2 linked regions of the Rattus norvegicus genome follow. The protein of the gene in region 1 purifies or fractionates together with the protein of each later gene. This does not show direct contact. Links are inferred from orthologs where the notes say so. Each region holds a gene or a part of one and is shown in the gene's direction. Other genes may lie near its edges.

Region 1 (3,292 bases):
TCACCCATCACTGCCCGGCTTTCCACCCCCACCACCCCCCACCCCGTTCCCCTGCTCTGCTCCTGCAATTGTACAGACTTGACTGGATGACTTCAGGAGCCGTGTCTCCTATAAAATTCGTATATCTAGTGACATCTTGTGACGCCTCCCTCTCAGTGCTGCCCCTGGACTCTTTGTTGGAAAATATAACAGAGTGAGGCTGCCTCAGACCCCTCCCAGCCAAAGAGAAAACTTCAAACGAACAAAGGGGTAAAGGCTAGTGAAGATACAAGGCGGAAATCAAAAGAAATTCTGTGCCTATTCCCTCAATCCGTGTTGGAGGCCGACCCGCTGTCTACCCTATTGTTTTAATTTTTGCTTTTATTTGTTTACTTTTTTTCAGACAGGGCTCAATAAGCCCAGGCTAGCCTTGAATTCGCAATCTTCCTCCGTCCATTGAAATCTCCAAGACCTTGAGCGCTGCAAAGATATACTCGCTTGAGGTTCACCCAAGAAACTTTAGAGAACTTCGCCTTGAGAGTGTTTGAGATAATCCCAAAACACGAATTGCAAGGAGAGACAAAGTTGTACGGAGGGGTTAAGTTTCATCAAGGCTAGTACCTTCAGCCCCAACCTAGTCCATTCCACCCAGGGTCCGCGGCCGATCATCTACGTTCCAGGAACCCGCCCAATCCACCCCCGCGGGTCTCCTCGAGTGGGCTCAGGGCTCACCGCAGTCCTTGAAGTGCAGGGGCTCGGCCTGGGTGGCGGCGACCAGCGCCAGCAGCAGGATCGTGGGGGTCAGGAAGCTCATCCTGGGCATGAACGCTGTGCAATCTAGGAAGGGAAAGCAGCCCGACAGTCACAAGATAAACTTGTCCCGGCAGACCGAGGGTGGAGCCAGGTCAGGCCACTTGTGACCAGTAACCAGCGAAGACCCGCCCGCGCCCCGCGCCCCGCCCCGGGCTCCTCAGCCGCCTAGCCTACAGCTTATCCTTTATCTCCGCCCATCTCTTCCGCTGCCAGGGCGGGCATCCAGAGAACCCTCACTCTTCTTTGCGCTCGCCCCTATTCTATTGGTACCGCCCCGTTTCGGCAAGTGGAAGCATTCTCTGCCAATCAAAACCTCTTATCTCGTTATACCCAATAGGCACGCTTGGGGGCGGAGACTCGATGCAACCCCGCCCCTGCCTTCTCCCCGCCCCCCGAAGCCCAGGCTAAGGTGGGGATTTAGACCATGCTAGGGGCGGAGCTTGCGGAATAAGATGGCGGCCGCCAGGGCCTTGTCCCTAACTGCTGAGGCGTTCGGGGCCGCCATTCCTAGGCGCCAGGGAAGGTACCTAACGTCACTTAGGAAGGGTGTTGGGTCCTGCGTCTTCAGGATAGATGGGAGACTAAACCTCACGGGGGAGGTGAAGGCTTGGCAGTTCAGATGAAGGTGTCGTCAGATTTGGGTACGAGGAGTCATTGAGGGTCATCAGGTGCCACTTTTGTTTCCCGGGTTCATCTTCCTTCTTCTCATCGCAGGCTCCTCGCCGCCTTTCCCAGGCTTTTGACCCGCTGGGAAACAACGTCCTCCATTCCAGAGGCTGGCGAGGGACAGATCCGCCTCACAGACAGCTGCGTCCAGGTAGGAGGCCGGACGCAGGGCGGCGGTACCCAGGAGGGTTCGAGAAGAGGTCCCATTCACCCGCCCCGTTATCTCCGCTTGCTTGGCATTCTTTATCCTCTTTCCTGAATTTCAGAGGCTTCTGGAAATCACCGAAGGGTCAGAATTCCTCAGGCTGCAAGTAGAGGGAGGTGGATGCTCCGGATTCCAATACAAATTTTCACTGGACACAGTTATTAACCCCGACGACAGGCAAGGAGGACGGATGGGTCGCTAGAGGCTGTGTTAGGGGATAAAAATGACCCCAGTTTAAGATGCGCTTTTATTCCAAACTTCCAAGCGTCTTAAGTGTGCTTAACAACACCACCCTCCCCATACTGTGTGAGGATACAACAAAGATTTGCCCTTTTATTTCAAAATAAGAAAATTGACTTAATTTAGGGTCCATTGAGTAGTTAGTTGAGAAAGGCTGGACTAGTTTCAGACCAAGTCCTTAAATAGTCCTTCTGCTTTTTACATTGAATCTTTTTGCTTCAAGTACAGTCTGTACCTCCTAGAAGTCCTAAGCAGTATTCCATGTATTGGAGAACAGGATGTACACTTCTGGGCTCAGGGTTATGATATTTGTCATTAATGCTTTCCTCTTGTCTTTTCAGGGTATTTGAACAGGGTGGGGCAAGAGTGGTGGTTGACTCTGATAGCTTGGCCTACGTTAAGGGGGCCCAGGTGGACTTCAGCCAAGAACTAATCCGAAGCTCATTCCAGGTGTTGAATAATCCTCAAGCCCAGCAAGGCTGCTCCTGTGGGTCATCCTTCTCTATCAAAATCTGACACAATGGCAGATGACTCTGGGATTGCCACCATTGTGCCAGTGTGAAAAACCCGGGAATAGTAGAATTCTAGAGATCGATTTCTCATCATGTCCCCCTCTCATTTAATTTAGTCCAGCGGTGTCTTATTTTACCACTATTAATTATGGAATGTGAAGCTTTTACTCTTGACAGAAATACTCTCCCCTCCCCCAGCACAATGTTAAGGCCAAATCCAAATGCCGTTACCTCAACCTTAATCACTGGTTGGAACCCTAGCACTTAGTACCTCTAGGACTCCAAAATTTGGAGTTAACTTCTCTAGCCTTCAAAATTGTTTATATGTGTGTGTATAGCTATATATAAAGCATCATTATAAACTAAGTTCTTACCGTGTTTTTAATCAGGATCACAGTTTGGGTAGCTTGAATACCAGAATTGAGGCCAAAATCGATTAGAAGGCAAACAACTATTGTCTGCTGCCACTTTCTCTTTCCCTCCTTCCTTCCTTCCTTCCCTCTTTCTTTCAACAGAGTCTTATAGGTAGCCCCAGTTTTGGACTCTCAATTTTCCTGCCTCAGCCTCTTTATGCTGGAACTGCAGAAATATTACTACCAGGCTTGGGTCATTCCTTTTTCTTCTTTTTCTTTTCTTCTTCTTTTTTTCCTCCTCTTCCTCCTTTTCTTCTCCTCCTCCTTTTCTTCCTCTTCTTCCTCTTCTTCCTCCTCTTCTTCTTCCTCTTCCTCCTCCTCCTCGTCTTCCTTTCTTTTCTTTTTTGTGGTTGTATGTCCTCTACTCCCCCAGGATTGGACACCTAGAGCATTGTAACTGCTAGGCAAACACTCTGGCACAGAGGTTCTCAACCTCTGGGGCACGACCCCCACAGGGTTCTCAT
Region 2 (4,305 bases), on another chromosome or scaffold:
TGGTTGCTGGGATTTGAACTCAGGACCTCTGTAAGAGCAGTCAGTGCTCTTAACGACTACTGAGCCATCTCTCCAGCCCCCTCTAAATTCTATTGTTAACAAGATTAAGAACACACAAAAGGGAAGTCCAGTTTCCTTGGTAGTAATATGATCCAGTATGCCCAAAAAACAAGAACAGGGTTTCAAAGAGACATTCATATAGTCATTTTCATAGCAGCATTATTCCTGCTCCAAGAATCGGAGACCTCCCAAGTGCCCACTGCCAGCCCAGTGCATAAGGGAAAGGTAGGAATTCACATAATGAATTACAATTCTTAAAAAGGGAAGGAAATTCTGATACGTGTTACAGTGAGGATGGATGCTCCATGAAGAGAGCCAGGTGCAAGAGGCAGGCACCGAAGGTCCTCAGAGGCTTCCAACACACGAGGGCAGAAAGAGAACTGTAGGCACCAGGGACTGGTGTGTTCTGGGAGGAGTCAATACAGACATGAGAAAAGTTCTGGAGCTGGATGATTAGCGAGGGCTGTGCAGCCATTTGACCAAAGCTGATCTGAATGCACTAAAAGTGGTCTCGCTGGTCTGTTTTCAACTTGTCACAAACCTAGAGCTATCTGGGAAGAGTGACTCTTCAGAAAATGTCTCCATAAGTTTGGACTGATGTGAGAGGGCCCGGCTCACTGTGGACAGGTGTTCCTGATTTGTATCAGAAAGCCGGCTGAAAAAGTCCTAAGAATCAGGACAGTAAGAAGCTTCTTCCAGGGCTTCTGCTTCAGTTCCTGCCCTGAGTTCTCTCAGTAAGTGGGTGTGACTTGAGTGTTTTCAGATGACGTGAACCCCTTTTCTCCCCAAGTTGCTCTTTATTACAGCAATAACAAAGTAACAGTGGTAAAGATGGTAAATTTTATACTGTCCGTATTTGACCATGAACAAATGTCCAATTTTTCCCCCTCCTTTTCTCTGGGCAGTACTGGTGATGGGAACCATGGCTTTCTGCCTGTTAGGAAATGCTCTTCCATTGAGCTATCTCCAGCACTCTCGCTTTTTTTTTTTTTTTTTTGGTTCTTCTTTTCGGAGCTGGGGACCGAACCCAGGGCCTTGCGCTTCCTAGGTAAGCGCTCTACCACTGAGCTAAATCCCCAGCCCCGCTTTTTTTTTTTTTTTTTTTTTTTTCTTTTTTCGGAGCTGGGGGCCGAACCCAGGCTCTACCGCTGGCTGAGCTAAATCCCCAACCCTCGCTTTTTATTTGGAGACAGGATTTTAATTTGCCCAGGCAGGTCTTGAACACGCATCCTCCCGCCTCTGCCTCCTGAGAGGCTGGCTGGGATTACACACTAGGACCAACATAAAATGGCAAATTTTATGTTTATGTATTTAACCACAACCACAAAGGGTTTGAACGGGAGCCAACTAAGGAAAAGGTCGTCGGGTGGCTCTATCTGGGCTTGCGCACCCATCGGCTAGCTGAGGCCCCGCCTACTTCCCCCCACGCACGCGCGTAGCCCGCCGCCGCCGGGGGCAGCTGTGGTGCCCGCCTTCACTAGCGCCCAAGATGGCAGCGGTGGCGCTGCTTCGGGGAGCGGCTGCGGGGCGCAAAAGCCCGGCATGGCAGTGGCGGCCGAGCGGGACCACGAGACACTGCCCAGTCCGTGGTTCCGGCCTTTTCCGCGGCAACTCCACGGATAGTGTAGCCTGGACTTGCTTCCGGCTGGATGGGCGCGCCTTAATGCGCGTGCGCGGCCCGGACGCTTCACCCTTCCTGTTGGGACTATTGACCAATGAGCTGCCGCTTTCGGGGCCTCCGGCCGGCGCGACTCAGCCCTCTGCGCGTGCGGCCTATGCCCATTTCCTAAATGTGCAGGGGCGCACGCTCTATGACGTCATTGTGTATGGGTGAGCTTTGGGCTGCAGGGCGGGGTAATAGGAACGTTAAAGTGTTGTGGGAGAAGATTAATCAGGAATCCCATGAAGGATGTCCAGGATAAGATTTCTAGGGAATGCTGGCCAGACACCTTTGGGAAGAGGCTTAATTAGAAGACTCTGAAAATGACTTTCTGAGGAGGACATTGTAGACTTAGGGAAAGGGTCACCTAGAGGCGGATCTCCCATGAAAGGCATCCAGGTTGGGCTAGTTACTTGCACGGATCCCCAGCCAGTCAAGTCAGAAACTGCTATACAGTGGCTTCTGGAGTTAAGCATTTTCAAGATAGGGGCTTCAGTCTTGTCCCTCCCTCCTCACTTCTTGGAAAGATTTCATTGGTCCTTGGGGCTTTATTTAAAGAGCCACTCTGTTCACAGTTACAGATTGTACTAGTGTTCTGAGAATCCAGTTTCCCCCTTACTTCCGGTTCCTCATTGCCGTGCCAGCTGTTTGCCTGTATGATCTCATCTATGCAGACCTGACTGTGACTGTAAATAGCGTTTGCTGGCCAGCCTGGGCAGGGCCTGTTTCCATAGCATTGAGTCTTCAGTTGCTCACTTTTACAGGACGTAAGTCCTGAAATCTCAGCACCATCTAGCAGGCATGTGAAGACCCACCCTCCCTAGCCTGTCCCTGGGCTGTTCCTCCTTGACTCCTACTAGTCTGAGCTACTCAGTGTCTTTCTAACATGGGTTTTGGTGAGCCTCTTCAGTAACCCCCTAGATGCTCAGAGTGGGAGTATATGGAGAATCCTCATAATTGGAGAATAATTCCTGAACCCCTGAGGGTGGCTGTTCCAGGATGAAAGTGAGAATTGGCAGCCATGATAGCATTATCCAGTAGCTGTCAGCATGCTGTAGGCGAAATCTAGAGTGTCTGTCTCCAGGTGCTAAAAGGCCATGGTGATGTGCTTTCTACACTTGATCTTTGCCAAAAGGCCAAGAAGCGATGTGATGTGCTTTCTTTCTTTTTTTAAAAAGATTTATTTATTTCATGTATGTGAGTACACTGTTGCTGTCTTCAGACACACCAGAAGAGGGCATCGGATCCCATTGCAGATGGCTGTGAGCCACCATGTGGTTGCTGGGAATTGAACTCAGGACCTCTGGAAGAGCAGTCAGTGCTCTTAACTGCTGAGCCATCTCTCCAGCTAGCTAGAGGCTTGCTTGCTTCCTTCCTTCCTTCCTTCCTTTCTTCCTTTCTTCCTTCCTTTCTTTCTTTCTTTCTTTCTTTCTTTCTTTCTTTCTTTCTTTCTTTCTTTCTTTCTTTCTTTCTTTCTTTCTTTCTTTCTTTCTTCTTCCCATTACTTTACTTAGTGAATCTCTGAATCTAGAGAACTAAGTTGGCAAATGACAACCCACGGGCCAGACCCAGTAGGATGCTTTGGTATATAGAGTTCTGTGAGAACCCCGGGGCTGTGTCTTCCAGGCAGTGTTAGTTAGGGCTGCAGTGACTCAGGACCTCAAGCCTAACCAGTCACTGCCCTTTGTAGAAAACATGGATGGACTCTGTACTGGAGGCTTGGATCTGACTGCATTTCCAGGATGCCATCATCTCTGTGTGTGCTGCCAATAGGCAGCTGGGTGTTGCCAGGTGCTAGCCTTTGGTGACTTCCATTCCTCATGATGAGCAGTAGCTGCCAGTCTAGTAGCAGTTGCCCCTAGTGTTGAAGACCCTAAGTGTTTGCAGCCTTGGTCCTACAATGTTTACAGCTCTTGTGGACCTTCTATTGGGATTCCTCCACTCTTGGCAGCAGCCAGTGTTACAGCTCTTGTAGGGCTAAGGAAGTTGAGATTTTTTAGCCATTGATACCAACCATCATCACTGCTCCTCCACACAGGGTCTCAGACCCTTGGCTCTAAAGTTTTGATTGACAGCTCTCTGGAAGTCTTCAGTGACCTGGGCCTGCAGTTTCTCTTCTCTGGCCCTTTGCAATCTTTTATCCTTCTTCAGTCTCAGCTTGCTGTCTCTCTTTATCTGCCATCTTTCTTACTGCCCAGGCTGTTGCCGAACTGCTCAGCTGTTGCCTCAGCTGTCAGACGACTGGCAGTCTTGTCTTCTCTGCAACTTGGCTTGTCCACTGCTCAGCTGCTGCTGCCACTGCCACTGGGGTTCCACTGCCTCTGCTGACCTCTGCTGTCTCCACTGCTACTTTCTCTGTTACCAGCCCAGCCCACACTACTAAAAGCAAGAAAACGGAGAGAAGCCTTTTCTTGGGCCTGCTGCTCCCACACTGGGGCGAAGCTCAGGAGAGTCTCCCCACAGCCTCACTAAGGGAGCCTTCACAGCCAAAAGAACGTTTGAGCCAATCACAGACTTGCCTGTTGGCAACCTTCATAATAACTGAGGATTGTGTTTTGGACAGTTGTAACCCTGTGTCTTTAGCA

The links. Proteins that work in one complex are often made in the same cells at the same time.
Region 2: the proteins of Isca2 (region 1) and Iba57 purify together in Homo sapiens (co-immunoprecipitation; 4 studies listed by BioGRID and IntAct, with this or other methods). This does not show direct contact. The link is inferred for Rattus norvegicus from reciprocal best matches to the Homo sapiens genes ISCA2 and IBA57.

Annotation. Positions count from the first base shown.
Region 1 is NC_086024.1:110,148,349-110,151,640, forward strand, and holds Isca2 (iron-sulfur cluster assembly 2 homolog, mitochondrial precursor), read left to right. Parts: upstream 1-1,244; coding exon 1,245-1,315; intron 1,316-1,506; coding exon 1,507-1,609; intron 1,610-1,724; coding exon 1,725-1,840; intron 1,841-2,244; coding exon 2,245-2,419; 3' UTR 2,420-2,755; downstream 2,756-3,292. Other genes in the region: Npc2 (NPC intracellular cholesterol transporter 2 precursor), read right to left, coding at 712-802. UniProt on the Homo sapiens protein: Involved in the maturation of mitochondrial 4Fe-4S proteins functioning late in the iron-sulfur cluster assembly pathway. May be involved in the binding of an intermediate of Fe/S cluster assembly.
Region 2 is NC_086028.1:44,447,565-44,451,869, reverse strand, and holds the start of Iba57 (putative transferase CAF17, mitochondrial), read left to right. Parts: upstream 1-1,501; 5' UTR 1,502-1,549; coding exon 1,550-1,890; intron 1,891-4,305. UniProt on the Homo sapiens protein: Mitochondrial protein involved in the maturation of mitochondrial [4Fe-4S]-proteins in the late stage of the iron-sulfur cluster assembly pathway. Operates in cooperation with ISCA2 in the maturation of [4Fe-4S] proteins.